Linked DNA regions of Ovis aries. The protein of the gene in region 1 interacts with the protein of each later gene in a biochemical or structural test. Links are inferred from orthologs where the notes say so. Each region holds a gene or a part of one and is shown in the gene's direction. Other genes may lie near its edges.

What was found.
Region 2: the proteins of XRCC1 (region 1) and POLB form a complex in vitro, tested with the Homo sapiens proteins (5 studies listed by BioGRID, with this or other methods). The link is inferred for Ovis aries from reciprocal best matches to the Homo sapiens genes XRCC1 and POLB.
Region 3: of the proteins of XRCC1 (region 1) and UBE2I, one has a biochemical effect on the other in vitro, tested with the Homo sapiens proteins (2 studies listed by BioGRID). The link is inferred for Ovis aries from reciprocal best matches to the Homo sapiens genes XRCC1 and UBE2I.
Region 4: the proteins of XRCC1 (region 1) and PNKP form a complex in vitro, tested with the Homo sapiens proteins (3 studies listed by BioGRID and IntAct, with this or other methods). The link is inferred for Ovis aries from reciprocal best matches to the Homo sapiens genes XRCC1 and PNKP.
Region 5: the proteins of XRCC1 (region 1) and APTX form a complex in vitro, tested with the Homo sapiens proteins (2 studies listed by BioGRID). The link is inferred for Ovis aries from reciprocal best matches to the Homo sapiens genes XRCC1 and APTX.

What each region holds. Positions count from the first base shown.
Region 1 is NC_056067.1:51,463,774-51,468,804, reverse strand, and holds the end of XRCC1 (DNA repair protein XRCC1), read left to right. Parts: intron 1-496; coding exon 497-590; intron 591-731; coding exon 732-867; intron 868-1,124; coding exon 1,125-1,179; intron 1,180-1,270; coding exon 1,271-1,410; intron 1,411-2,698; coding exon 2,699-2,789; intron 2,790-3,205; coding exon 3,206-3,281; intron 3,282-3,380; coding exon 3,381-3,494; 3' UTR 3,495-3,581; downstream 3,582-5,031. UniProt on the Homo sapiens protein: Scaffold protein involved in DNA single-strand break repair by mediating the assembly of DNA break repair protein complexes. Negatively regulates ADP-ribosyltransferase activity of PARP1 during base-excision repair in order to prevent excessive PARP1 activity.
Region 2 is NC_056079.1:36,544,821-36,550,998, forward strand, and holds the end of POLB (DNA polymerase beta), read left to right. Parts: intron 1-1,535; coding exon 1,536-1,600; intron 1,601-3,269; coding exon 3,270-3,409; intron 3,410-4,084; coding exon of another isoform or gene 4,085-4,143; exon of another isoform or gene 4,144-4,346; coding exon 4,347-4,441; 3' UTR 4,442-4,586; downstream 4,587-6,178. Other genes in the region: DKK4 (dickkopf-related protein 4), read right to left, coding at 5,893-6,137.
Region 3 is NC_056077.1:1,564,740-1,570,836, forward strand, and holds the start of UBE2I (SUMO-conjugating enzyme UBC9), read left to right. Parts: upstream 1-2,456; 5' UTR 2,457-2,570; intron 2,571-2,934; exon of another isoform or gene 2,935-3,174; intron 3,175-3,397; exon of another isoform or gene 3,398-3,478; intron 3,479-6,097. UniProt on the Homo sapiens protein: Accepts the ubiquitin-like proteins SUMO1, SUMO2, SUMO3, SUMO4 and SUMO1P1/SUMO5 from the UBLE1A-UBLE1B E1 complex and catalyzes their covalent attachment to other proteins with the help of an E3 ligase such as RANBP2, CBX4 and ZNF451.
Region 4 is NC_056067.1:55,943,072-55,947,875, reverse strand, and holds the end of PNKP (bifunctional polynucleotide phosphatase/kinase), read left to right. Parts: intron 1-218; coding exon 219-298; intron 299-375; coding exon 376-433; intron 434-517; coding exon 518-625; intron 626-925; coding exon 926-997; intron 998-1,715; coding exon 1,716-1,764; intron 1,765-1,861; coding exon 1,862-1,932; intron 1,933-2,009; coding exon 2,010-2,102; intron 2,103-2,238; coding exon 2,239-2,335; intron 2,336-2,411; coding exon 2,412-2,473; intron 2,474-2,626; coding exon 2,627-2,736; intron 2,737-2,813; coding exon 2,814-2,901; intron 2,902-2,982; coding exon 2,983-3,044; intron 3,045-3,108; coding exon of another isoform or gene 3,109-3,128; coding exon 3,129-3,246; 3' UTR 3,247-3,302; downstream 3,303-4,804. Other genes in the region: PTOV1 (prostate tumor-overexpressed gene 1 protein), read right to left, coding at 4,081-4,092, 4,175-4,372. UniProt on the Homo sapiens protein: Plays a key role in the repair of DNA damage, functioning as part of both the non-homologous end-joining (NHEJ) and base excision repair (BER) pathways.
Region 5 is NC_056055.1:38,141,359-38,147,276, forward strand, and holds the start of APTX (aprataxin), read left to right. Parts: upstream 1-2,151; 5' UTR 2,152-2,662; coding exon 2,663-2,730; intron 2,731-5,918. UniProt on the Homo sapiens protein: DNA-binding protein involved in single-strand DNA break repair, double-strand DNA break repair and base excision repair.

The sequences.
Region 1 (5,031 bases):
GCCCTGTGATTTGGGGCCACTTGATTCATCTCTCTGGGCCTCCGTTTCCTCTTCTGTAAAATGGGGCTGAAAATAGCACCCGCCTCAGGATTCAGCGATTCTGAACCTGTAAAGTGTTCACAGCAGTGCCTGGCACACAGGAAATTTGCTTTCAAGATTTTTCCCTTGATCAGTAGGCATTCTCCTAATGAGAAACTGACTTTGATGCTTGCCGGAGAGAATTATTTCTGATTTTTTTTGTTTGTTTCTGAAATGAGACATTTCTTCCCTCGGAGGGGAAGCCAGGGGTTGCTGTGGTCAATGGTGTGGGTGGCTGAAGGTCCACGGGGCCCTTCTGGAGCTGGGAGAAGGGGTAGACCAGGAGGGAGACCACGTCTGCACCCTGAGGATTTATTTATTGATAGTAAATGCAAGCGCCTGCTGCTTCTTAAGCCCCCTCCCCACCTCCCCTGGAGGACGCATCTGCTGTTGGTCTGAGGCCCGATCCCTCCTCCAGGTACCTCATGGCTGGGTCAGGCTCGAGCAGCGAGGACGAGGGGGGCTCTCACAGCGGCAGCAGTGGGAATGAAGCCCCCAAGGCTCCCCGAAAGGTCCATGCCCCTTGCCCGGCATGGGGGAGGGTGGAGTCGGGGGGACACGGTACCCCAAACTCTCTACTTCTGTCTCCTGCGGGCACACACTCACACCCTCATTGCCCCTTCCCTCCTCCCTGACCCACCCTCCCTCCTCAGCGCCCCCAGACCAAAGCCAAGCCCCCTCAGGCAGCAGGACCTAGCTCACCCCAGAGACCCCCAACCCCAGAAGAGACCAAACCAGCCTCACCAGGGGCCCAGGAAGATAATGACGACACTGAGGCGGAGCAGTCAGGTCAGAGTCTGAGGGAAGAGCGGCTGAAGACCCAGATTCCCTCGTCTAAAAGGGGAAGGAGTTCCAAGTCTGAGCTCCTGGGTCCAGCGAGATGGGGCTGGATCCTAGACAGTGGACCTAGGGGGTGGAGGGAGGCCGCCCCCTCACCCCCAACTGGATCTGGGGAGCAATTGGGTTGGGGGTTGAGACACCCCACCTATGCTCAGGTGTGAGGCTGGGAGGTAGGGGCCTCGAGCTGACTAAGTGTCTGCTCACAGAAGGACGGGACAACGGGGCAGAAGACTCTGGGGACACCGAGGACGAGCTGAGAAGGTAGGGTGGGGCTGGGTGGCTAGGGTGGCCCCGGCCTTGGGTGGAGGGGAAGCCGATCTGCACACTCTTTCCCCACCCTTGGCCTCTCCAGGGTGGCCGAGCAGAAGGAAGAAAGGCAGCCCCCTGGTCAGGAGGAGAATGGCGAGGACCCGTACGCAGGATCCACAGATGAGAACACGGACCATGAGGGCCCCCCGGAGTCTCCCGACCTGCCGATTCCCGAGCTCCCAGGTGGGAACCCCTCCCTCCTGAGGTGGGGTTTGCCCTGTCACTTGTCTAAGGTGACTTGCCCCAGGCCCCCTGGGATGGCCGCCGCCCACTCTGACTTGTCTCCCAGGCTCCTCACCCTCCTCCCTGACCTCTGCCACCTCCGTATCCTCTCAGGCCTGTTCCCTTCCTGTCAGCATCCGTGCCTGTCTGTCCCGTCCTGACTTCCACTGTGACCACCTCCCTCACAGCCCAGCCCCTTGCCAGACCCCGTTTAGCTTCTCACCCCCTGATGACAGGGGCCTCCCACTCCCTCGGCTTCAAGACCGACCTGGGGGCTTTAAGAATCTGCAGGTACCCCAGCTACACCCCCCGGGTTCAGCTTTGTCGGTGGGGGTGGGGCTCAGGGAATACAGCTGTGCCGATCTCCGTTGGGACCCGCCTTGCTATCCATCACCCCAGACATGGGGGCAGGCATCGGAGCCTCTTCTGGTCAAGAATGAAAGGAGAGGGACTCCCCGGGTGGTCCAGTGGTTAAGATTCCACGGTATGGAATGAACGGTATGACTGTAAAGGGGGTGAACTGTTTGGAAATCAACGAAGATTTCCTGGACACCTTTTTTGGGACTTTCAGATAAATATCTTAGGTGAAAAGGATGATACTCCAGTTCATTTGTGCAGGGGGCTCAGGTTTGATCCCTGGTCAAGGAGCTAAGGTCCCACATGTGGCGTGGCGCAGCCGAAAGAGAATGAAAGGAGAGCTGGACAGTCAGAGGCTCTGAGTGGAGGCGAGGGTCTGTGGCCTCCCGAAAAAGCTATTTCCACCCGGTTCCTCACAAGTGATGGGCAGGAATGTACTCTGATCCTCCTCCAAAGCCCCAAACGTGACCTTGGCAACTTAACAGAAAATCATGTTAAACTGGAACAAAGAGCCACCCTGAAGGTCAGCGTCAGAGAAGGCACTGGTTAACAGGAGTGGGCTAGCCAGTGGAGGAAGTGGCCGGATGTGAAGTTTCCAGCCTAGACCAAGTGAAGGAACTGACTGACCTGGTTTAAGAAACACATTGCCACTAATAGTAATTGTATCTATTACCATTAATATAAAACAAAACCCCATTAGGCCTGCCTAGAACCACTGCTTGTCAGGGATGGCTTCTGAGTCAGGGTGTCCACGGACATTCCGCACCCCATCCAGCCACTGCGCCTGCTTTCTTGTCCAGTCTGCAAATGTCCCGTGGCTCCTGGCTGGAACCCCGGGACTCCAGGGGTTCATGTTGGCTCTCCCCGCCCCATCTCCATCTCTCCCCTGCAGACTTCTTCCAGGGCAAACGCTTCTTCCTTTACGGGGAGTTCCCAGGAGACGAGCGGCGGACACTCAGCCGCTATGTCACAGCCTTCAACGGGTCAGTCTCCAGGGGCAGGAGGTGGGGGGTGGAAGGTCATGGGGAGGATGGAGAAGGGATATACCCTGAGGGTCGACACAGGCTGTGGAGCTCCGTGCCAGCCCTGCTCGCTGTGCTAGGGCCCTGGACGCATAGCTTCCCACACCACACCCCCAAACTCCCCGTCCCCGACCCTTTCACCCCCACTTCCTCTTGTCTAAAATGAGGCTCCTCACCGCCCTTCTGAAAGGATTGGTGCTGGCAGGAGCTGGCGGTTTCATGGATACGGCGAGCCTGGCACGTGGGAGTGGGGGACCCACGGGTGGCCCACAGGGGACGTGGGTGGGGGTGAAGAGAGGACGGCCTCTAGGGTGGTTGGGGAGGAGGGCGTCAAGAGACGGGGCGCCGATTCTCCGCCTCTTCGCATCCCCCGCCAGGGAGCTTGAGGACTACATGAGTGAGCGGGTCCAGTTTGTGATCACCGCGCAGGAGTGGGACCCCAGCTTTGAGGAGGTGAGTCCTGGAGGGGCAGGAGAGGGAGGCCCAGCCTGCCCCAGCACATCCCCCAGCCCCTCCTGGCTCACCCTTCCCACTGCCCCCCGCCCCTTGCAGGCCCTGACGGACAACCCCTCCCTGGTGTTCGTCCGCCCCCGCTGGATCTACAGTTGCAATGAGAAGCAGAAGTTACTTCCCCACCAGCTCTACGGGGTGGTGCCCCAGGCGTGAAATGTGTGTGGACAGACATGGACGCACACACACATGTGCACGCATACACACACCCACACGAGTGTAATAAAGGAGACTTGGCTTGGAGCAGCTGCCCCTCCCGCTCGCGTCTCTGAGAACCCCCAGCAGGCTCCCTGCCTTCTGTCTCAGGTTTGGTTCCACTTGGCTCTGAAGGCTGGGTCTTTGGGCCACCTGATGACTCCTGTCCTGGGGTCTGCGGAAGAACGACCGGCTCTCTGTCCGGGGCCTGGTTGGGAAGGAGCTCCTTATTACTCTCCCTGGTGCCTCCCCGCTTTGGCAGCAGGTGGTAGGGGATTGGGAATCTGACACTCAGCACACACCCCTCAGCTGGTTTGGATCCCTGGAGCCCATTCCCGTATCTCAGTTGTCCCTCTGGGGGTCCTGGGCTGTGGGTTGGGATGCTCATGGGGTGGCCTCCCTTGAAGTCTCAGCTCCCCTGGGCCAAGGACATCTCCCTTTCTCCAGGGCTCTCAGAAGTAGCTGTGAAACCATCCCCAGCCTGGTTTGACGTCACCTCATTTGGGAGGGAGAGCTAGGGAAGGGGCATTTAAATTACCCTCCACAAATCCCAGACCCTCTTTAAGGCTCCACCATATTTAAGGTGGGACCTGACCTGGTTGTTAGAGAATCAGGGTAGAAGGTGGGGGTGGGATGGGGGACTTATCTGGTGGTCCAGTGGTTAAGACTCCGTGTTCCCAATGCAGGGGCATGGGTTCAGTCCCTGGTTGGGGGAGATCCAGCATGCCAGGTAGCACAGCCAAAAATTACTAAACAAAATAAACAACCACCTTTAGGAGTTCCCTCGTGGTCCAGTGGTTAGGACTGCGCAGTTCCACTGCAGGGAAGATGGGTTCAGTCCCTGGTCAGGGAACTAAGGTCCTGCCTGCCATTCGGTGTGGCAAAAAAACGAAACCAAAACTTAGCAACAGGGAAACGAACAATTCACTTGCTCAGCCACAGTGGCCGTGCTTCCAGTGCCCACCGGCTGCTGGTCTGGACAGTGCCGACGGAGAGCCTTCCCTCACTGTGGAGAGCAGGTAGGGCAGCCCTGCAGTGCAGTGGACGGCAGCCTAGAAGCTCGAACTTCATCCTAGGGAGGGCAAAGGGCAGGGTCAGAGCTGGGGAGCAAATGACCACCAACTTGGTGTCTTAAAGGTCATAACCTAGATTTGAGGTCCAAAATGGGTCTCGCCAGGCTAACCATCAGGGCGCAGGCAGGGCTCTGGCTCCTCCTGGGGCTCTGGGAGAGAGTCTGTCCTTATCTTTATCTTTCCCACTTGCAGCCCACGACCCATGCCCCTTCTGTCTTCAAAGCCAGCAACGGCTGGTGGAGTCTTTCTCAGGCTGCGTCACTCTGACACTGACTTCTTGGGGTTATGCTGCGCCCACCTGGATAACCTGGGATAATCTCCCGGTTTTAAAGTCAGCCCGTTAGCAACCTTCCTTCCTTATGCTGTCTTTAAATGTTTTATTCATTTCTGACTGTGCTAGGTCTTCGTTGCTGTGTGGCCTTTCC
Region 2 (6,178 bases), on another chromosome or scaffold:
AAAGATACAATCTTCTCTATGTTTTCAAAGTTATCTTTAAAACATGAATTCCTTTAAATTAATAGTAACGAAACCTTAGGAAAGTCAGGGTTATTCCAGATCTTCTTGTGGACTCATGGTCTTTCGTTAATTCAACTATTCTTCCTGTGAATATAATAACATTTGGAAGAAAAACCAATTTCTTTTGCATTTAGATACCTTTTTATATAGATGAGTACCACTCATATCTTAGCGTTTTTGTGCAGGTTTGGCCTCAGAAGATGATTTTCTGATAGGAGAAACCTCGGCCACACGAGAGGAATGGAGGAGGCTTTATTTCAGAGTCAGCATAAAGCTACCTCATTGAAATGCCAAACAAAACTAATCCACTCACTCTAATACAGACTTTACAGTGATACAGAGAAATTCTTTAACACCAGCACTTCAGAAAAAGTTCAGGAAATGAAATTTAGCCTTGAGGAAAGGAACAAACCCATCAGTTGGAATCCTGTTACTGGTGTGACAGACAGCAAGACCATTGCCCATGGTACTCAGACCTCCATGTCAGCAAGGTAGTACCTCATGGGAATTCCATCTGAGTTGTAAGTGTTAGTGCCTGAGAAGGTAGGTTTCATATTTGAAGATAGACAGGATTCGTTAATCTCTCAGCCAGAGGAGTTGCTAAAGAAAATAACCATTTTAGATTTTGATTCTTCTGTGTTGCTGAGTGAAACGGACGGCTTTTAGTGATGTGTGTACCAGCTGGACTGCCCTTCAGAACTGGAAGCTTGTAACTTGTGTATTTTTCTCGGAATGTGGCGTTTGAAGCTTTAACTTTGAAAAATGGCAATGTTTTTCTTTTTTACATATTTTACATATGGGTTGTTGCCCAGCCCATAAACTTTCCCCATTTTTTCTGGAAAAGGAAAAGATAACAAAACAGACCTTGATAATTGTTGTTTAAAAACTACCGAAGTATAAGGAAACTCCCCCATAGAGAAGGAATAAAACAGTCCTCTATCTTTTAATTTTTTTCTTAATTGTACTCTCTCTGTCTTCTCTAATTTCTGGATGATATCTCCAACTTCCAATTTTTCTATAATATTTTTTATTTTGATTTAAATCCTTTCCTAGAGTTTTCTTTTTCTGTAGCATTCTGTCCTTGTATCATGGATAAAATATCTATAATCTGAGAAGATTACTGGTAGCTTTTGTGGGTGTGTTTGTCTTCCTAAATAATCATTTTTTCTTCCAAGTTGCTTGTTTCTGTTTGTTCTGGTCTGTCTTTCGTGCTTTCCTTGATTATTTTCTTGTTCAGAGTCACAAAAAAGCCAGATGGCTCATCATCTGCTGCTCCCTGTGGTTCTCTAGTAATCACGAAGTATTACAGTACAGGGGGTGATGACATAGAACGGAGAAAAGTTACGTTACAGGTTTTCATAGGCTAAAACCACCTCCGTTTAAAGCAGAGGTAACTTCACACTTAACAATATTTGATTAGAATTAAGCCTGAAATTCTTAAAAAAAATCTTTAAACATTTTAAAATCCATTTTAGGGTGTTTGTCAGCTTCCCAGGAAAAACGATGAAAAGGAATATCCACACAGGAGAATTGATATCAGGTATTGTTCAAAATTTGTTGCTGACCTATTCTCCTTTCTTTTCTCCTCCCCCCCACCCCTCCCCCTGGGTATATCTTGGAATTTACATAAATATCCAGGATCCCTTTTCATTCTGCAGACCCATGCTACTGCTAAGTCATTTCAGTCATGTCCAACTCTTTGTGGCCCTGTGGACTGTAGCCCGCCAGGCTCCTCTGTCCATGGGATTCTCCAGGCAAGAATACTGGAGTGGGTTGCCGTTTCCTTCTCCAGGGCATCTTCCTGACCCCGTTTCTTACTTCTCCTGCATTGACAGGTGGATTCTTGACCACTAGTGCCCCCTGGGAAGCCCCTGAAGTGCCCTATGTCCTTGCAATAGACACTTTTTGGCCTGAAAGTATGTAAAAAGTAACACTATCGACAGAATCTGCTTTATTATCTCTGGATTTGCCTCTTCATAAGGTGCCTTCCTTATCAAGAGAAGAGCAGTTCTCTTGGGTTCCCATACCCTACTGCTCTCCACCCGGGTGCCCTTTCCCCAGAAAATCTCTTGCTTTGTCCGCGCATGTGTCTCCTCGGGCAGTTCATTTCCGAGTGTTAGACAAGAGCCCAGTTTCGGGCCCTGGAAGGGGTCAGCCTTCCTGAAACAAATGGTGACTCTGGTGGGACTCTTCTCCGCTGAGACTGACATCCTGACCACTCGGGGTGCTCGGGCCAGCTTGCCTGCCAATGGACCAGACCCAGCGTCCGCAACTGGGACCCTTTGGTCCCTGGTCTCCTCCTGACGCGGACAACTGGCCAGAGTGCCCTGACCGGTAAGGAACAAGAGATTCATTGACCTCTCTCCCCTTCCCTCTCTCTTTCCTCTGCTTAACCCTTCCTATCCTTGCCTGTTTTTCTGGTCCCCTGGTCTTGGTTGCAGGAATCTGGTTGAAAGGCCCTCAGCCAGAGCTGAGGATTGGAGACTGATCACCTCCTCTTGGCAGAGAACTTGAATTCTGGTTCTGGTCTGGTCTGATTTCTGGTAGGGGCGAGTTCCAGTCCTCCCTTCTCTGGAGGCCCAGGGAAAAGTCCCATAACACCTGGGTATCTGTAGGTGGCAGGAGACGTCTGTAAGGCCACCCCTTTCACCTCACCTCTCCCACCTCCTCTCCCTTCTTTCAACCTGGCTTTCTTTCCTCCCTTGAAATCTTTGATGTTAGTACTTGGCCCTAGTGGTGCAGAAGGTAAAGCGTCTGCCTGCAATGTGGGAGACCTGGGTTCGATCCCTGGGTTGGGAAGATCCTCTGGAGAAGGAAATGGCAACCCACTCCAGTATTCTTACCTGGAGAATCCCATGGACGGAGGAGCTTGGTGGGCTACAGTCCACGGGTTGCAAAGAGTCGGACATGACTGAGCGACTTCACGCTCATTTTCACTTTCAAGGTGCCTGCCACAGCATGAGGTGGATCCCGCTGGGGAAGGTGGTCCTGAGACCATCTTTGGGTTTGTCCACACCCCTTGCAGAGTGTGGTTTACTGAAGCCTGAACTAACTGCACGGTTGAGGACATTTGAATGGTCCTAGTGATGGGGGTCTCTTTAGGTTATTGGACTGCACAGGCTTGTATTATGCCTTCCTGATTATGAGTCCTATTTTTGCGAAGTTTGAAATGCATAGTAAAGGATTGCTCGCTTGTTTCTTTTGTTTAGGTTGATACCCAAGGACCAGTATTACTGCGGTGTCCTCTATTTCACCGGGAGTGATATTTTCAATAAGAATATGCGAGCTCATGCCCTAGAAAAAGGCTTCACAATCAATGAATACACAATCCGTCCCTTGGGTGTCACTGGTGAGTATTTGTGTCTGCATCGGAGATAATCCCAGTCATCGGGATATTTTGGTTTAGCAACTTTGGTTTTTCTAAGAGCCTTTAAGTAACCATGGCAGTTAATTGTAGTTTCTTTAGAATTGTTAGTCCCTCAGGCAACAGAGAAAGCTTTGCTCCATAGGTGTTCCCAGGCCCTCAGCTCATGATGACAAGATTTAGTTATTTTCTGTGTTCAAATGGATTAAATTCTTTCTACTTCCATGGTCAGCAAAAAAAGAAGAAACTCTTATTGACCTAAAGGATTTTTGTTTTCTTAAATGTGCCTCCAAGATTTCAGGAAAACTCAGGTGTTGCTCCTTTCAGTGTCAGGCCAGACTTGGTAGCTTTGACTCCAAACTTTCACAGTTTAAAGAGTAAGAATTACATAGTCTGTTTTATAGATCTTATTAACATTTCACAGTCTATTTATTATGTGGTCTACTGTTATCTGCTAGGAGAATGAAGATTTCGTCTTTTTGTCCTAAAACTGTAAAGTAGGGCTGTGCTTGTCGCGTGTCAGTGGGTGTACAGACTACATGGGACCCTCACTCAATGCAGGTTTCACTTCAGTGGGCTTTGCGGGACTGCTGCATTGCTAGTCCAGGGACCGTGTGCTGAGTTGCAGAGGAACTCACTGGAGTCTTTTCTCTGGCACAGGGGAGATCCAGCAGAGAGGAGAGTCATGGATTAGGGTCACGTCAAAGGGCCAGAGTTGAGGTATTCAGGTTCGCTGTGTAGCACTGGTGATATGTGTGTGGCAAAGCATGAACAGAAGCCCTCGAGGGAGGTCTTTTTAAGTCGCTTGTGGACTATTTTATTTTCCCTCTGAAGCAAGTCCTATTCAGCTCTCCATCCTGACCCCTCTGTAACTGAGCTCCAGAACTGGCTCATGAGGAAGGTCTCTTGGCCCTCCTTGCAGGCGTTGCCGGGGAGCCCCTGCCCGTGGACAGTGAGAAGGACATTTTCGACTACATCCAGTGGAAGTACCGTGAGCCCAAGGACCGAAGCGAGTGAGGCCCGTCCTCCCCGGCACAGCCCAATCAGAATCTTAATTTATTTCTTAAGCTTTGCTATGTAAGGGTCTGTGGTGTTTTTAAGTAACTATTTCTTCTTCATGCCGTAACCTGCACTGTAGTCAATAAAACATCTTGTATGATTATCAGCTGTGATCTAGTTCTTACTTTATTAGCAAACGTCTAAATTTATATATTCTGTTGATGACTGCACTTTACTAAGGGTCAGTAGAGAGAATTAAGAGATGAGATGATAACAAATCTTAAGTGGGGATTTTTATGTTCTCCTTTCCTGCCCTTATGTTATAAACTACATTACCTCATTACCTTTCCTCCTGTTTACTGATTATAAATTAGTTAAAGTGCACCCAGGGGCCAGCCTCTGGAAGAGGGTTCAGGCTTTTTTAGAGATTAGAGAACTTCATAAATTTCACTTTTGTCTTTGCTTGACCCATATTTGATTCTGTTATAAATACTTATAAACTAAAGAACAGGTATGTGGTTTGTCTCTCAAATGAAATCTGTAGCAATTGATTGTAATCCATGAGAAAGAACTTCCCTAATTCAGTTCAGTTCAGTCACTCAGTTGTGTCCGACTTTTTGTGACCCCGTGGACTGCAGCACAGCAGGCTGCCCTGTCCTTCACTGTTTCCCGGAGCTTGCGCAAACTCATGTCCATTGCGTCGGTGATGCCATCCAGCCATCTCGTCCTCTGTCATCCCCTTCTCCTCCTGCCTTCAATCTTTCCCTGCATCAGGGTCTTTTCCAACATTCACCCATTTGTATCAAATATGACCATTTAAACTTCAAATAGACAAAGATTTCACTTTTTTCCCCTTGTTTTCCTCCAGTGTAACTTTTGAGTACAGATGGTCAGGCACTCCTTGAAAGCCCAAGCTTTGAAATGCAGAAATTATATCAATACAAAAATATGAAAAGTTCTTAAATAGTAAGGCTATTGAAAACAAACTAATGGAAAAGTGCTTTGGAACTTGCAGTGGGTTATACCAACATAGGCTATTATCTTTTGAATCTTGTATCTTTATTAACCAGGTTTCTGTTTTTGTAGCGAGATGGCGTTTCCCTTCCAAGACATGAAGGCTTATAAACAGTAGGGGCTTTAAGGAAGTTTTCCCTGGTAAGCTGACTTAACAGCAGATAAACTGTCACTCCGCTTCCCCACAATTCCCATCAGGTGTCAGAGCTTCACCAGAAATCACTTAAAAGATTTATTTGAACTAACTGAATGACTAGATGAACTTAAATTTGTTGTAGAATCACTTGCACTTTTCTGCAGAAACAGACAAAAAGCCAAACTAGTCTCTATTCCTCACAAGACAGCTTCTGCAGCTCAGTTTGTTTCACTTATTACAAGATGGGATTTTAAGATGTGTAGATGGGAAGATGTGCGAGTGCACGCCTGAGCCTTCTGCTGGGTTAGACCTGCAGCCGTTAGGGTTTCTGGCACACTTTCGACCGTCCGCGGCGTCGATGAGCCACCTGACTCCGACACACTAGCCCGGCCTTACATTTACAGCGCTGGGACTGACCCAGAACTGGGCCAAAGTTGTAATGCCTCCCAGAACAGACCTGTCCGTCCTGTAGCAGCGGTTTACAGACTTTGTTCCAAAAATGATGAGCGCAGCAAAGTTCGGGCCCGCAGTCTAAACTTGTGAGACACTTTTGTCCCTTTCGTGCTGTAACAAGATTGACACAGGCTTTAGTGATAAGCAGGTGG
Region 3 (6,097 bases), on another chromosome or scaffold:
TCCACGGCAATTGAACCAAAAACGTTTTATGTAACCACCATCTCACACAAGCCTTTTCCATATTCCAGCCAATACTCTTTAATTTGCATTTCTTTAGCGACTAGTGGTGTTGAGCATCTTTTCACGTGCTCATTGGCCATTTGTATGTCTTCTTTGGAGAAAAGTCTTTTCAGACCCTGTGCTTGTTTTTGAACCGGGTTTGTTCTGTTGATGTTGAATTGTAGGCACTCTTTATATATTCTAAATGCTAACCCCTTATCAGATATGTAATCTGTGTTTTTTCTCCTATTCTGCGGGTCACCATTTCACCCTGGTAATAATGTCCTCTGATGCACAATCTTGACGTTTGATTCATTTAGTTTTTCCTTTTTAGCTGCCTCTGCTTTTGGTGTCACATCCAAGAAATGATTGCCAAATCCAGTGTCATGAAGATTTTTCCGTTTTCTTCTAAGGGTTTTATAGTTTGAGCTCTTCTGCTTAGGTCTTTGAGTTGGTTCTGTATGTGGTGTGAGGTAGGGGTGGATTTTCTTCCTCTTTAACTCAGCCCCTGGAGCAGCAGCCCCTACACACAGACCTCCCAGGACCTGACCCTCAACAGCCACCTGAGGGAGCTAGCGGTGGCACCCCTACTCTAGGCAGCTGCGAATCACACCTACTACCTCTTCCCCCCACAGTGGGCACTTGATCAGGCGCAGTCCTCCAGGATCCTCTCCCAGCAATGGCCACCACTTTTCACCGGCAAATGTTACTGGACTGGGTGACTTCCCCGTGCAGCCCTGCGCAAACCTCCCCGGTACCCTCACAAAAAAGATGGTGCTGGCACTAAGCCCATGCTCCTGGGGTTCTTAAAACTGTAGCTCAGTGGTCAAGTGCTACATGGCAGGCCCACGTGGGACACTTGTTAAAACACAAACTTCTACTCGGAGCCGATGAACCAAGGCTGGGGACCCAGAGAACAGATGTCTCAGATAAGCCCCTGATCCTGGCATCTGCCCCGGTGAATAGACAGGGGAGGCAGTGTCCCAGAGCAGGCCCACGCTGGGTCACTGTGGGGACACAGGAGCCGGCAGCACCTTTGGACTTCAGAGCCTCAGAGAGACCTGGAATGCTCACCTGCTGCTCAGGGGGTCTGGGCCCTTACCCGGGACCCCAGGCACTATAACCAGGCCCTCTGGGCCACAGCTGACCCAGAGGCACCCTAGGCAGACTACCTCCCCAGCCCAGCGGAGCTACCAGCCTCAGGAGACGCCCCCACCTCAACCCCACGCCCAGCCCGGGGCCTTCTCAGGGCTAGTGACCATCCTCACTGTAACAGACGGGCTGGGAGCGCTGAACACCTGCTGAGAGCTCTGGCCCAGACGTGGGCCTTGGGACACTAGCCTTGCGGGGGCGGGGGGGGGGGGGGCGGTGCTGGGCGGTCTGCCCTGGAGGCCAATAGTCTCAGTACAGTGCCAAATAGGGGGCTGCCGGGGGTGAGGGTGGGGAGGATGGAAGGAAACGGAGGAAGGAGGAGACCCAGGGCGAAGGGGTGAATGAATGCAAGCTGGGGGCCGGGGTGGGGGGGCGGTCACCTCCCGCCACTTGACCCCAAAGAGCCCACGGGCGGAGGGGCTGACCTTGGAACGCTCCCTCTTTCCCACTCTGGGCCAGGGGACGGGGGTCGGGGGCCGCTAGACGGAGAGGCGCCCAGCGTGGCCGGGAAGGACAAGCGTTCGCGCGTGGGTTCGGGGCGGACCTGAGACCCCGGCCACAGGGGCCTAGCCCTGCCCCTGCTCCTCCCCCACCCGCCCGGACCACCCGGCGCCCCTCCCCCCAGGCCAGCCCCTGGGTTAGGGAGCGTCTGCACTTCTCCTCCCGTCGGTCGGGCCCGCACTTGGTCTTGTGTACGGGGCCTGCTCATTGGGCACATTAGACGGATGCCCCGCCCAGGGCCCCGAGTTGGCCAATCGCAAGGGGTTTCACAGCATGCCGTAGGCGAGAGATTGTCACCGTGCTGCGACGCTTGGGGGATCCCTAGGCCTCAGTGGTCGTTGCTCCTCCGCCCCGGGCCCTAGCCTCGAGGAGACCTCCGGGACCGCTGCCTGGGGAGGTGCCCGCGGGGCATCCGGAGAGCCCGGGGAGATCTCGGCCGCCCTGCTTCCCCGCCGCTACCCGGCCGGTCCTCGCGAGGAACAGTGCCCCGCGAAGGGGAGTTTGCAGACGCTCCCTCACACCCGGGACGCGGCCCCTTTAAGGACGCAGGTGTCCATGGCGCCGCCTGACTGGAAAGCCGCCTCCGGGCCGGGCTCCCGAGCGGGGCCCGGGGCGCGGGCGCGCGGCGGCGGGACACGGGCAGCGGGCGGCGCTCGGCGGCGCGGGCGGCGCGGGGCTGGCGGTGGCGGCGGCGGGGTGCGAGCCAGGCGCGCGGCGGGCAGGCCCCGCAGGCCCCGCCCCGCCCCGCCCGCGCCGGGGTCCTCGAGCGCTCGGGCTGCGCGCGGAGCGGGCTCGGGAGGGAAGTCCCGAGACAAAGGGAGCGCAGCCGCCGCCGCCGCCGCCTAGTACGCCTCGCTCGCCGGGCCGGGCCGCCCGAGGTGAGCGCCGCGGGGCGGGCGCCGGGCCGCGGGGGCCCAAAACTCCGCTGCCGGCGGGTCCGGCCGGGCAGGCGCCCTCCGCGCGCGGCCCGGCCCGTTCCCGGGGACCGGCCCGCCCCGGGCTGCTGACGCCGCGGCGGGGGCCAGCCCGCCGGGCTCCCTTCGGGTAGCCCGGCCCCCGGCCCGCCGCGGCCTCGGCCCGCGAGGTGGGGGCGTCTTCTCCGGGCGCGCGCTCGGGGCGAGTCGCGTCCGGGGCGGCCGACGGCGCGCTCGGCTCGGGCCGCGCTGACAGGAGCGCCAAGCCCTCCGCTCAGGCGGAGCGTTTCCGGGGTCACGGTCTGCGCGCGAACCTGTGGCGCGTTCCAGCCTGGTAGAGGACGCGCTGCACAAAGAGTGCAAAGCCGCGCGCTGCAGGAGCGCCGGCGCGTTTGGGGGTGGCGTGTGATGCCTGGAAACGAAAACAAGCCAGAGCTCTTGCGCCTCCGAGCTCCGCTCGCCGTTGCGGGGGACCCACCGAGTGTTCGCTCTTCCCTTGACGGGGAGATCTCGTCCCAAGACCGCTTTATACCAATTGCACGGCGGCTGGAGCTGATAGTTTTCGCGAGTAAGAGGAAGGCGAGGGAATGATTAGCTGGGCTGATGGTAACGGCCAGCAGCTGTCCTTGAATCACAGAAGTAACTGGTTTGGTTTGTACGATTTGAAAACAAGCTCCGTTGGCAGTTTCTCCCCGGTTTGCGGAGTTGGCTTTCGTTGGTCTGCTCTTAAGCCCGTGGTCCTCTGTGTTTCTTGCTCCCAAGGAAACTGCCTTTGGACGGAGAACCTGCCCAGCAGCAGGGGGAGAAGGAGCCCACGTTTGTGCTGACTTGATTTTGGGTGGGTTGGGGGTGAATTCTGCATCGTGCTGCACGTGAGTCTCGCTGGGGGTTTGGGCTTGCTTTGGAAACAGCTGGGCGTCCTGGGAGGCGTGTCAGGAAAGACCAGGGAAGTGCCCCTGGGCTGGAGGATCTCCTGAGCGCAGGTGAAGCCAGTGCCTTCCTTCTCCTGGCGAGCTTACGTTTGGGTGGGAAAGCCCACCAAGGGCCGCGAGCCTCTATCGGTTTCATCCTGGGCCGACCTCTGGGCTCACAGTGCTATCGCCCGTTTTACCGGTGAGAAGGTTGAAGGGGAAGAGGGAAGCCGTTGGCCCTCACCTGCAGCCGGTAAGTGGCTTCAGAGATTGATCTGAGAAGCGTGGGTTCAAGCACAGCCCACGCTGGAGAAGGGTGGCTGCAGACTTCAAGGGTCTGCCCCAGACCCGGATCCTGTGCTTCAGGCTGTCTCTAGCAGGTCATAGATACCCGATCTTTGCCTCTTAGTGATTTTGCTGCCCTGAAGACTGCGCACACTTAACAGCTCCTTAAGTGCCTCCCTGTCAGTTGGGAAAAGCTGATTGGATTCTAAGTGGGATGCTGAAGGAGTGGTTCCGTGTTGTAATTAAAATGTAGCAAATTGGCTGCTTTCTCCTGGGCAGCGAGGCCAGCCTCTCTCTGGGCGGGGGCAGGTGTGCGCCTGTGACTCCGCCATGGCTGCAGCATCTGTCTTTCAGGTGCCCAGTTTGGTTCTCACCCCCAAGGACGGGGTTGCAGCAGCTCTTGTGGGACACCCCTCCCATTACTTTCTGCACCTGAGACAGTCACAGCTGGCGCCCCAACAGGGTCTGCTGAGGCGGCTTTGTTCCTTGTCAGTAGAAGAGGTGGCCTGTGGCGGGGTCCTGGCATGCGGTCAGCAGGCATGCGGCACTGAGGATCACCCCACCGGCCTTTTCTACATCCTGGCCTAGCCATGCCGCTCCAGAGCCCTCGAGTGCCAGCTTGCCCATTCCAGAACCCATGTGCTGCCCAGGCTCCAGGAACCAGTCTTGAAGCCTTGCTGAGCGCAGACTCAGCAGGAACTTCACAGTGCACGGAGAGCCAGGCTGCTTGTCTCTGCCACTGAGCTCCCGTGTGGGACAGTTTAGAGGTGGTCCTGGCCCGTGAGGGGCTCCTGTAGGATTTCCGCACATCCCTAAGCCCCCACCAGGGGAGGGAGAGGCGTTCCCATCTGCCCTGGTGATGAGGCGGGGGCAAGTTCTGTTTAGAAGGGTGATGTGAAGTGAAGGGTTTTCAGGCTTCAGGATTACTGCCCTCATGTTCCCATGGACTTGAAAGCTGCTTGGCACTCCCCTCTGCTCTGCCAGCTCCCCACCTGAGGGAAGTGACCCCAGCATCTCCCACTCTGTCCTGTTTGTGGACAGTCTGGTGCTGCAGGCAGTGCCCAGGTGGCCAGCAACCACCACTAGGACCCAGGGGCACCAGCACGCCCACGTCAGCCTTCGGGCAGCCGCACTTGTGGTCTTCAACTTATATCACATGAATGAATGAAAATACCAGATGGGTGTGCACGTGTAGGGAAGGAGACCCCAGACAGGGTCCTGTCCATCAGGTCCACAGATGAGGAGGAGGTGAGCGGGCCAGGACTGGAGGTTCGGGGGTGGCAAAGAGAAATTCTCTTTGGGGTGTGGGCCTTCTTGCTTGGGACTTGATCTTGAGGTTGGGCAGGGTTAGAGCCTTTGAAGAGTGTCCTCAGTGGTCAGAGCCGGGCAGCAGCTCCTGTCACCAGGCCTCCTGCGTGGGAGCTAGAGTTTCACGCTCGCTTTCCCTTGTGTTGACACAAGTCTCCGTGTTTCTTGACAACTCACAGCACCCAGTTGTCTGGTGTCTGCAGTAAGTCACCCCACTTCCTGGACCCTGGGCTCCTGGGTGAGGCTGGAGTTTGTGGTGGCAATCCCAGCCCCGCCTCCCATATGCTTGCTTATTGGGGAGTGGTCCAAGAGCCAGACCCCTACAGAGTTCTGGCTCTTTGAGGCCACTGGGCCTGGGAACAAGCAGCCAGAGAAGCAGCCGCCCAGGGCCTGGCTCTGCTGTTGACCTGCTGACCTGACCCCGCTCCCCTGCACAGATGTGGGCACACCAGAGTGGCCACCAGCAGCCAGTGCTGGGACAAGGTCGCCACTTGGCTTGCTGGAGAAGTTGGGGGTCAGCCTGAGCCAAGTGATGGTGGGCCAGGGGCCTTGGTGAAAAACGGCCCTTCTACCCCTCGGTTTGACTTAAGGCTTCGCCCCCAGTGGGCAGGTTACCTTCTGGGTCTTTCCTTCTCATCTCTGACCTGGGCTTGGTCCCCTGCTTTGGGGCAGGGCCAGCACCGCTGGGAGGTATGGCCGGTTTCTTGTTCTGTCTTTGGTGGAAGTTTGTTTTGTGGCTGTGGAAGGCACGGCTTGCTGTCCTAGGAGCTTCCAGTTGCTGGGCCTCTCCCCTGCCAGAGGCGCAAGGTGGGGTGAGCTGGCCACCCCAGCAGATGTGCCCGGCTCAGAGACCCTCCCCTCAGTATGGTTAAAGTCGTGCTTGTGGAGGTACTTGATTCAGAGTACTCTCTGATGTTCCCATGGACTTGAAGACCAGCGAACACACTTAGGGTCAGATTCCCCAGAAGGTTCTGTGGCCTCTGGGGC
Region 4 (4,804 bases), about 4.5 Mb from region 1:
GGCTCAGGAGGAGTGGGAGGTGGTAGAGAAGATTTCACTCTGCTGTCCGGGTGGCATCCTGTCCTTACAGAACATGGGTAGGCCAGCTGTGACTCGGTTTCCCCATCTGTAAGGGGCGGGCGCTCATAGTCCCAGCTTGCAGAATTGACGCGAACCAGCCTGCGAGCTAGGTGGCCCAGAGGTGTAACAGTGCTGCTCTTTTTTCTGGGTGACGCCAGGTGGCTGGTTTTGATCTGGACGGGACCCTCATCACCACACGTTCTGGGAAGGTCTTCCCCACTAGCCCCAGTGACTGGAGGTGATTGAAGGCAGTAGGAGAGGGTGGTGAGGTGCATCCGGGCCCCAGGTCACCTTGCGCTTCCTCGCCCGCACTAGGATCTTGTACCTAGAGATTCCGCGGAAACTCCGGGAACTGGCCGCTGAGGGTTACAAGGTGTGTACTCCGTAGGGGCCGGCTCACAAGGCGGGCCCGGGCCTGATGAGGAAAGGCCGGGGTGACACCCCATCTCCTTCACAGCTGGTGATCTTCACCAACCAGATGGGCATCGGGCGCGGAAAGCTGCGAGCGGAGGAGTTCAAAGCGAAGGTGGAGGCTGTGGTGGAGAAGCTGGGGGTCCCCTTTCAGGTATGGCTGCATGGGAGGCTGAAGGACTATGTAGAGGGACAGAGAGGCTGAGACAGAGGCCAGAGATTGCGTGGTGGGCCAGAAAGGAGGAAACAGAGACCCGGGGAGAAGGTGTGACATGGTGAGCCAGTTGGAGAGTGGATGGGGGCCCCGGGCGTGGTTATGCCGACAGATGCATTGCAAGCGGTGCTCACCTTGGTGAGCGTTGGCGTAGTGTCCTTGGGATTCAGGTGCCTTTGTAGGACTCTGGGTGTCAGAGCAAGAGTCAAGGACGGTGTCTGACCCCGGCCCCACCCACAGGTGCTGGTGGCCACGCACGCAGGCTTGTACCGGAAGCCGGTGAGCGGCATGTGGGACCACCTGCAAGAGCAGGTGAGCCTCCGACTCCCAGGGCTCCCTGCCCGCCTGCCCACTCCAGGTCTCTGCTCCATGACCTTCCCTGTCACCCCCTCCCCAGGCCTGGCCGCCTCAGTTTCTTTGCTATCATGTCCTGGTGCTGGTGGCTGAGGCCAATGCTTTTAAACTCGGGAAACCAGAGTGGTCCGGAGAGAAATCACCTGTGGATTCATTCATGGGTTTGTTCTTCAGAACAAACAAAGCTTCTTGAGCTGAACGTATTAGTGGACAAGACAGACCTGCCTGCGCCCGGGCCCTCGTTTAAGTGTGTTGACCGATGTGTAAACAGTGAGGGAACGGCCGGGTGTTGATTAAAGGCTTAAAGGTGGTGAGTGAGGGAGCCGTGTGTCATCTAAGGAAAGAGCAGAGTAACGGCAAATGCAAGGATCTTGAGATGGATGGAGTCCGGTATTTTCGCGGGCAGGGAGGAGGCCTGTGTGGCTACCGCTGAGCTGGCGAGGGGGCAATGCGAGGTCAGACTCTGTGGGGTCCGGAGCCGCGTCAGGTGGGAGCGGGCGCCCTCTGGCGGCCGCTTGTGGAACAGGCGGTGAAGCGGCTGAGAAGTGGCTGAGGTCTGAGAGGCTAGAGGTCAGGCCTAGGGCGGGGCACCGACAGAGCGACCTCCTGGCGGAACCTGTTAGTGCGACAGATGTGGGCTTGGGTTCCTTACTGCCTGTCATGTGTCCCTGCCCAGGCCAACGAGGGCGTGCCCATTTCCATCAGGGACAGCATCTTTGTGGGAGGTAAGGGCCTGGGGCTGGGGGGGGGGGGGGGTGCTGGGCGCTGATGCGGATGGGCCGCTCCTAAGGATGCTGGTGGAGACGGGGCTCCGTGTTCCAGACGCAGCGGGACGCCCAGCCAACTGGGCCCCTGGGCGCAAGAAGAAAGACTTCTCCTGTGCAGACCGCCTGGTGAGTGCCCCACCCGGTCCAGACACCGGAGCCCGCCCCCACCCCACCCCACCTGACTTGCTCCCTCGCCCCCCCAGTTCGCCCTGAACCTGGGCCTGCCCTTCACCACACCAGAGGAGTTCTTTCTCAAGTGGCCTGCGGCCCGCTTCGAGCTCCCAGCCTTTGACCCGGTGAGGCCTGCAGGGCTGGGTGGGGGGCACACATGGATGGGGCCCTTTGAGCTCGCAGCCTTTGACCCGATGAGGCCTGCGGCGGGGACGCACAGGGATGGGGCCGGGTTTCTCTCATCTTGTCTGTCCCTCCCAGAGAAGCATCGCCCGCTCTGGGCCTCTCTGCCTCCCCGAGTCCAGCTCCCTCTTAAGCTCAGACCCAGAGGTGGTCGTCGCCGTGGGATTTCCTGGGGGTGAGACTCCCTGACCCCCAGAAGCCCCAGCCCCTCTCTGACTCCTCAGGCCCCACTCACCCTGCGCCCTTCACAGCCGGGAAGTCCACCTTCCTCCGGGAGCATCTCGTGTCAGCCGGATACGTCCACGTGAACAGGGTAGGACGTGGTCTTCAGTGCCCCCCCAACCCCTAGACGGCTGTGCTTTCTGACTCTCCATCACTCTGCCTCGGTGTCCCCCCGCCGGCTCTGGGTCCCTGTGCCCCTGGGTGTCCCAAGCCCCATCCTTGATCTCTCTCTCTGGGTCTCCAGGACACTCTGGGCTCATGGCAGCGTTGTGTGACTGCATGTGAGGCGGCCCTGAAGCAGAGGAAACCGGTCGTGATTGACAACACAAACCCCGACGTCCAGAGCCGGGCCAGGTACTGGGGTCCCAGGGAAGGCCCCTAGAGGGCGGCTCCAGGCCTTTTACCAAGCTCCCCATCCTCCCCTCCCCAAGGTACATCAAGTGTGCCCGGGATGCGGGTGTGCCCTGCCGCTGCTTCCTCTTCAGTGCCACCTTGGAGCAGGCGCGCCACAACAACCGGGTGAGTGAACCCCCCGAGCCCCTCCAGCCCCCAACACCCCACCAAGCCCTGGCCTCACCGGCCCCACCTCTGCCCCCGCAGTTCCGGGAGATGACAGACTCCTCCCACATGCCCGTGTCCGACGTCGTCATTTACAGCTACAGGTGGGGGCCGCAGGGTGAGGTGGGGGGACATAGGTTGAGCCCAATGGTTGGGTCTCGCCTCTAGCCTGCATCCTCTGCCGCCAGGAAGCAGTTCGAGGCCCCCACGCTGGCCGAAGGCTTTGCAGCCGTCCTGGAGATCCCATTTCAGCTGCACGTGGTGCCGCAGCTCGAGCGGCTGTACCGCCAGTTCTCAGAGGGCTGAGCCACCCTGCCCTACTGGCCCTCGCCCCTTCCCACAATAAATGCTATTTCTCCTAACTCTTGGCCACCATTTTGCTGGAGAGAAGGGTGGTTCACCCAGCCAGGCCAGCAGCACAGACCCGTTGGGCCCAAGGTACCAGGAAGGTGCTACTGGGGACTCTGCCCCCCTGGGGGGCCTCTGCCTCTCCTGGGTTGGAGAGGTTTATGGTGGTGGCAGCTGGAACTTGCCTGGCCCTGCCTCGTGTCTGCTTCTAGCTGAATGAGGCCCGTGGAAGCCACAGGGCAGGGAGGGCAGCCTGGGAGCAGCTGCAGGAAAAACCCTGGAACACTTGGAGCAGCAGGTACTGCCCAGGCTGGGCAGCTCCGTGCACGGTGGCACCCTCTCCCAGCTCAGGTGAGAGTGGCCTGGCCTCTCCAGAGCCGGGAGTCTGAACAGAGCCAAGTGGCCGGAGGGCTTTTAAAAGACTTTATTGGGGAAACGTACAGGGTGGGGGCTGTCCTCAGAGACATCTCAGGACGTGGTCCTCCATCTCGCTGGGCAGGCGCAGTCCCCAGAGGCCCCTGCTCAGAAGCATCTGACCTGCGGGGAGGGGGCAGAGGGACTGGGTGGGCGGCCCCCGCACTCCGCCCCAGGCCGGAAGCCTCCCGGGGGCTCAGCGGGGGCAGGCGGGCCTCTCCCTCTCTGGTCTCCTGGAGGCCAGGGTCACACCACCTCCCAACCGCAGGCGTGTCCACGGGGCCCTCCTGCCCTAGGCCGGCTGCCACTCACCAGTCTTCGCAGGGGCCTCATCTGTGACTCCTGGAGAGGCCCGGCCCCGGGGGGGGGGGGGGCCCACTACCCCCCCATCTGTGGGGAAGGACAGCACGGAGGAGTGAGCCTTGGGCGGAGGCGGGGAGGGGAGAAGGGGCGTGGCGAGGGGGGCCCTTACCCCTCGCTGCTGCTGCTCCTGCTCCAGGTTCCGCTGGAGCACCTGCTGCTGGTTGGCGATGACACGCCGGATGCCATTGACGAAATTGCTCTGGTCGTGAGGGATGAGGCCGATGAAGATCTTCTTCTCCGAGGAGTACAGGAGCATGAGCACGCGCACCTCACAGGAGGCCTTGTAGGAGAAGTGCACGCAGCCAGCCTGGCAGTGCAGAGCACGGTCACGGCTGGCCCTCAGCTCACTCCTCCCCTCGAGAGCCCGCGTCCAGAGGACAGAGCGTTCCGGGCCGTCCCCAGGCCTGTCACCACTCCCACAAGGGGACCCAAGACAGAAGCACCTGCCCAAGTGTCCTCCCAGCATGCTCTGGTGATCCTGTGACCCCCCCACACCGGCCGGGCGAGCGCCCAGGACCAGCCATAGCCGTGACACACAGCACCACACACAAGCCTCCCCACGCTAGGATAGAGGCGGCGGGGCCCCAGGGCTGCCTCCACTGGGAAATCCTAGAGGCAGCCAAGAGCAGGGAGGCTGGGCAGGCGACGCACCCCGTGGCTCAGCATCACAGCACCCACAGGCACCAAGCGCCTCCCGACCCATCTCACAGGATCCTCGCCCTCTGCAGGCCTGGGGGTC
Region 5 (5,918 bases), on another chromosome or scaffold:
GGGGTCACAGAGTCGGACACAACTGAGTGACTGAAGTGATGGTTTGACGCTTTTGCCTTCCATCAGTGAATTTCGAATTTAAGCACCTATTAGGAAAACCTGCTGGACTTGTTAAACATATTGCTGGGCCCTGCCAGCAGTTTCTAAGTCAGTAAGCCTAGTGTGAGAACTGAATTTGCATTTCTAATAAGTTCCTAAGTGTTTTGAGGCTACTGCTGTTGATCCAATGATTACACTTTAGGGCTACTGCATTAAATAATCTGGAGTGGGTTGCCATGCCTTTCTCCAGGGGATCTTCCCTACCCAGGGATCCAACCATCTCCTGCATTGGCAGCCTGGTTCTTTATCATTAGTGCCACCTGGGAAGCCCAGCACACACGCAGCACACGCATTAGGTAATACCACAGGCTTATTCGCTATTAATTTTCTATACATGTGTTTGTGATAAATCTTTGGTTCTGGATTCCTTGAAAATTTTAAGTGCCCCCCCGCAATACCCTTAAGCTGTGCATTTCCTGGGCCAGTAATATGCTATAGAGAAAGGGCTAGACCTAATAGGTTGGACATTTTTGCACAATATATGTTGAATGACCAATTAGAATAATTCAATCCAATTTTGAATGCCAGACACACATAGGCAGGTCAGGTATTTATAGAAGCAGAGGCTAAGAGAAGCTTAATTCTGTGTGTGAGTGTGGTGCTCAGTCATGCCCAACTCTTTTCTACCGCAAGGACTATAGCCCACCAGGCTCCTCTGTCCATGGGATTTTCCAAGCAAGATTACTGGAGTGGGTTGCCATTTCCTTCTCCAGGGGATCTTCCCAACCAGGGATCAAAATTGTGTCTTCTGCATTGGCGGACAGATTCTTTACCACTGTGATGCTTGGAAAGTGCTTAATTCTGAGGGAAAAACAAGACTGGTCGGGTCACCACAACAGCCTCTCTTTACCTGGAACAGTGTGAACCACATTCCACTGCCATGAGGCCTGTGCAGCCGCGGAGCTGCTCCTTGTGCTCCCGCACTTCCTGGTGTGACCTTAATATAAACCTGCATCTTTTCTGCCAACAAGGGCAGCTCTCCCTTGTTTCCTGGAAGATCCTCCTATTCTGTTTTAATAGCTGATATCTTCATCCTACGTCTCGCGCCTTGTAGACAGATGCTTTACTGTCTGAGTCACCAGGGAAGTCCTAAATCTCTATGTAAGGAAACGATATTAGAAAAGAGACACAGTTTTTCCATCTGCCAGAATGCCTTTGAATTCTTGCAGTTCATGACTCTTAGGGAACATCCTGGAACTGTCATAAAAATCAGTAAACATCTCATTCCAACATCTTGCTATTCTCCTCCCTGACAGCCCCTCAGCCAGTTCATTCAGTGAAGACAGCATTAAAAAAATCTTAGGTTTCTCCACTTCTGGCCCCTTCAGACCTTTCTCACTCAGAAAAAGAGAAAGCCGATTGTAGCTTCGAAAGCGTGCGGGAAAACAATGCCACAAGCAGGTACTGTCTACAGCGGAAACGGTGGCTTTAAAAGTAGTGAGCTTTTCCTTATTGCTGCTGCTGCTGCTGAGTCGCTTCAGTCGTGTCCGACTCTGTGCGACCCCATAGACGGCAGCCCACCAGGTTCCCCCGTCCCTGAGATTCTCCAGGCAAGAATACTGGAGTGGGTTGCCATTTCCTTCTCCAACGCATGAAAGTGAAAAGTGAAAGTGAAGTCGCTCAGTTACCTCTGACTCTCAGCAACCCCATGGACTGCAGCCTACCAGGCTCCTCCGTCCACGGATTTTCCAGGCAAGAGTACTGGCGTGGGGTGCCATTGCTTTCTCCGGAGCTTTTCCCTATGAAGGGAAAGCGAAAATCAAGATGCTGCATGGCTGCCTAGAAGCGGCCACCGAGAGGATAGCTGCCTGAAGTGTATCCCAATTCAGAGATTAAGAGGTGGTGACTGGGGAGCGGCTCTCGGATAGAGGGGAACTGAGAGAACTCGTCGTTTTTTGGTTAACTGCCAGGAACCAAACTTGGACTTTTGCCCAGTTCGGAACCAAATGGGGCGGGCACTTCCCCATCCGGGCATCTAGCGAGATCCTCAGTCAGTCTTCCGACAGGCACTGGAAACGTCACAGGTTGCGCCCCAGTTTGTCTTGCAACGTCATCCCTCAGCGCCGGAAGTGAAGGAGTAACGTGAGCTTGTTGGCCTCAGCCATCTGGAGGTAAGGCGGTTGTCGGCCTACCTCGTCTCCTGCCGTATTGAGAGCCGTGAGTGTGGGCATCGAGTCCACCTCTACCCCAGAGTAATGTTCCCTGAATAACGCTCTCACGGCTCTTTCCCGGCAGGCAAGCAGGCGTTGCTCCATCCTCGGGCTCTAAGGCCCAGGGCTGCCCATTTCCCTCCTGCCGTGTTTCAGCGGCTGGCGGCGCTCGTGTTGGTCTCCACTGCACTTCGCGTTGGTTCACCTATGCGCCTGACACCTGAACCTAGCTTAGTCAGAGCACAAGCAGAAAAAAGATTAGAGAGTGGGCACTGTCTGACCCAAGGAGGCTTCGCAGCCTGTCAGGAGCGACTTTGTTTTCTCCAGAAACGCTCCTTGAGAAGAATTTGAGGGCCCTTCACAGCATCCACAGCTGGCCTTGTAGGAAGACCAGAAGAATCAAGCCTTTTCTCATGCAGACCAATGATAGCGGTTCAACAAATCAAGGCTATAATTTCCATGTGGAATTAATGTGGTCCAGGTTTGGAGCCTTTTGAGAATTTGATATATATCGGGAGCCATTAGAACACAGAGGACAGGACTACTCTGTTCAGGGAGACAGAACATTTGTGCCCTGTCACCTTCGCTGCAAGCAGTGTTGTCGGATGATCTTTTAACATTTCCTTATAGCGCCTATTCTTCACTATTAACGAGAGTGGTAATGATGTTGAATGCTGTTTTTTTGCCAGGTGCCGAACTTTTTACATCTTAATTTAGCCCTTGTGACAACAGTGTGGTGTAGAGCCATAATTAATATTGTTTTCCAGCTGAAGAAGTCTTAGTTTAAATAACTGGCCTCAAATTATGCAGTGAGTAGTGGTGGAGGGAAGATTTGAACGTGAGCAGTTGGATTTCAGAGGTCTGGATGTTGTCCACTAATTTATATTGATTGTCTTTAGCTGATTCTCAACTGCCCAGACACCTTACTTTGTTGTTATCTGCTATTTTAGGGAGAAAATTGAGTTCATCCGATGTGCTTTCCCTCAAATTTCTACCCTTGCTTTCTTTTCATACACTCGTCAAAGTTGATACCACCTATCTATACCTTTCCTTCAATATCAGAGGATGATCTGTCTCTTGATCAAAACAAATTTCTTTATCTTTGCTTCTGACCTTTCTTTTATGTTTTCACCTATGAAACCGGGGCTTTCATTTGTCTTTTCTTCCCTTGTCTGTGTCCCAGTCATGTATAAACAAGGTCAGGTTATTCAGATCCCTGCTCCTTATCCCCCAAGCCAGAAAGAAAAAGTTCCTGGTGATCCATCTTTCTTTAGCTCACATACAGTAACTCTCTTCTCCTTATCCAGACTTTTTGAAGAGTATTGTGAATTCTGTATCCAATTCCTCACCTCTCATTCCTTTCTGCGATCTAGCTTTCAGATCTGTTATTCCCCTAAAATTTTATACAGTAGTCACTAGTGACTTATTATCAAACCAAATATACGTTCTTTAATCATTACGCTTCCCTAGTGGCTCAGACACTAAAGAATGTGCCTGCAGTGCAGGAAACCAGGGTTCGATCACTGGGTTGGGAAGATCCCTTGGAGAAGGGAATGGCAACCCATTTCAGTATTCTTGCTTGGAGAATTCCATGGACAGGGGAGGCTGGTGGGTCACAATAGGGTCACAAAGAGTCGAACATGACTGAGCGACTGACACTTCCGATCATTACTGGATCCTTTTGCTGCAAACGTGGTGATACTTTTTACTCTTTACTCCTTTGCTTTTCACGACAGTACACTAAGCTGATTTATTCAACAAACATTTATTGTGATATACAGATGAACATGTCAAAGTGCCTCCTTCCCTTGAAGAGCTTACATTTTAGCTTTTTTTCCCCCCGAGTGTTTCCCTCACCAGTAATTTCTCCTGTGGATAGTCCTCCCTCCTTGTCTAAAATGTTGGGTGTTTCCAAGGCTTGTGACTTTGGCCCACTATTCTTTTTATGCTGTACACAATTCTTGAATGAGCACGTCAACTAGCATGGCTTTAACTCCTTCCTGTATGCTCCCAAATTAAAGTGTCAGCTTAGACCTCTGCTGAGTTTCATTCTTACCTCTGGCTACCCTGCTGGATACCTCTGCTTGCTAGTCCCACAGACTGTTCAAATATTGTCTTCTCTGTACTTAATCTTAGCACATCCATCACTGTCTTGTTGATTTTACCCTCTAAGTAGTTCTTAAATCTGTGTTCTTTTTTTGTCTGTATTAATGTCCTACTTTGAACCTTCTTTCACCTGAAATATGATGGCCTTCTAACTGGTTTCCCTGTCTCTAGATCAATTCCCTGCATAACTATTCTTTAACTACCTACCATCCTGCCCCAAGTGATCCTTGAAAACAAATCTGAGTCAAAGTCCTGCTTAATAATATTTAAAGATCTGTCATTTCATTCACCCTATCTTTTCTTTCATTAAGCAAATATTTATTGTTTACTAAATTGCAAAATCCATTAGAGCTTCTAAAGTTTGAGCTTCTCAGCCCATCACCCAGGGCTTTGCTTCATCTGGACCTGCCTGCATCTCCAGCCTCTTATTGACCTCATACTTTAGGTTGCAGCAACCCTGAACTGCTTCTTCATGCGTGTACACTGTCCTGTTCCTTTTGACTGGAATCTTCTCTTTGATTCCTTCCTCCACTTCCTGCTCCTCAGCTAATTAGGCTGCCCACTTTCACCTAACTAACCAGTTCATATATAAGTCTCAATTTAGGCCCATCTCTTATAGGAAACCTTCCTTGACACCTTTCTCCAAGGCTAGGTTGGGTATTCCAGCTTTGTGCTCCCACAACACCTTTTGCATGCTGCTGCTGCTGCTAAGTTGCTTCAGTCATGTCCGACTCTGTGCGACCCCATAGATGGCAGCCCACCAGGCTCCCCCATCCCTGGGATTCTCCAGGCAAGAACACTGGAGTGGGTTGCCATTTCCTTCTCCAATGCATGAAAGTGAAAAGTGAAAGTGAAGACGCTCAGTCATGTCCAACTCTTAGCAACCCCATGGACTGCAGCCTACCAGGCTCCTCCATCCATGGGATTTTCCAAGCAAGAGTACTGGAGTGGGTTGCCATTGCCTTCTCTGACCCTTTGCATGGACCAGTCATTATACTTTTCACATTTGTTGCATTTGTTTTTGAATCTCTGTCCTCCCCAAGACTCTGAGCATCTCGAAGGCAGGTATGATGTATTATGCCTGCATCATACAGTACGATGAGGCTTTTGCTGTCATAGAGCTGGCAGTTTATGGGGTTTTACTGGATGGGTTATATTGACAGTTCAGGAACAGCCATCTTTCTGTGCGCCCCATATTCTAAAATACTTCATTCCTAGAAGTTGAAACTGTAGGCTGAAATGGACCAAGATACTGCTTAAGGTTAGTTATATAAGCATTGTGTCGTCACTGCTTCAGCCTCTCAAGGAGTAGTAAATGGGAGCATTATAACGTCAGAACTTTAGGGAGACTGAAGCACCTGAGTGTGTGTGTAGGGCAGGAGGAGGAGTTCCTCTTATCCTGCAAAAGTTAGCCGTGCTCTCAGCTGCCCATTGGATTCCCTCCTGTCCTTGCTCTTCAGGTATTCTCTCTCCAGGCTCCTTTTATTATTCCTGCGAGTCATCAGTCACCACATGACTTATTTCCCAATGCTTAATGAAAACATGCTTCATTGTTCCTTCTTC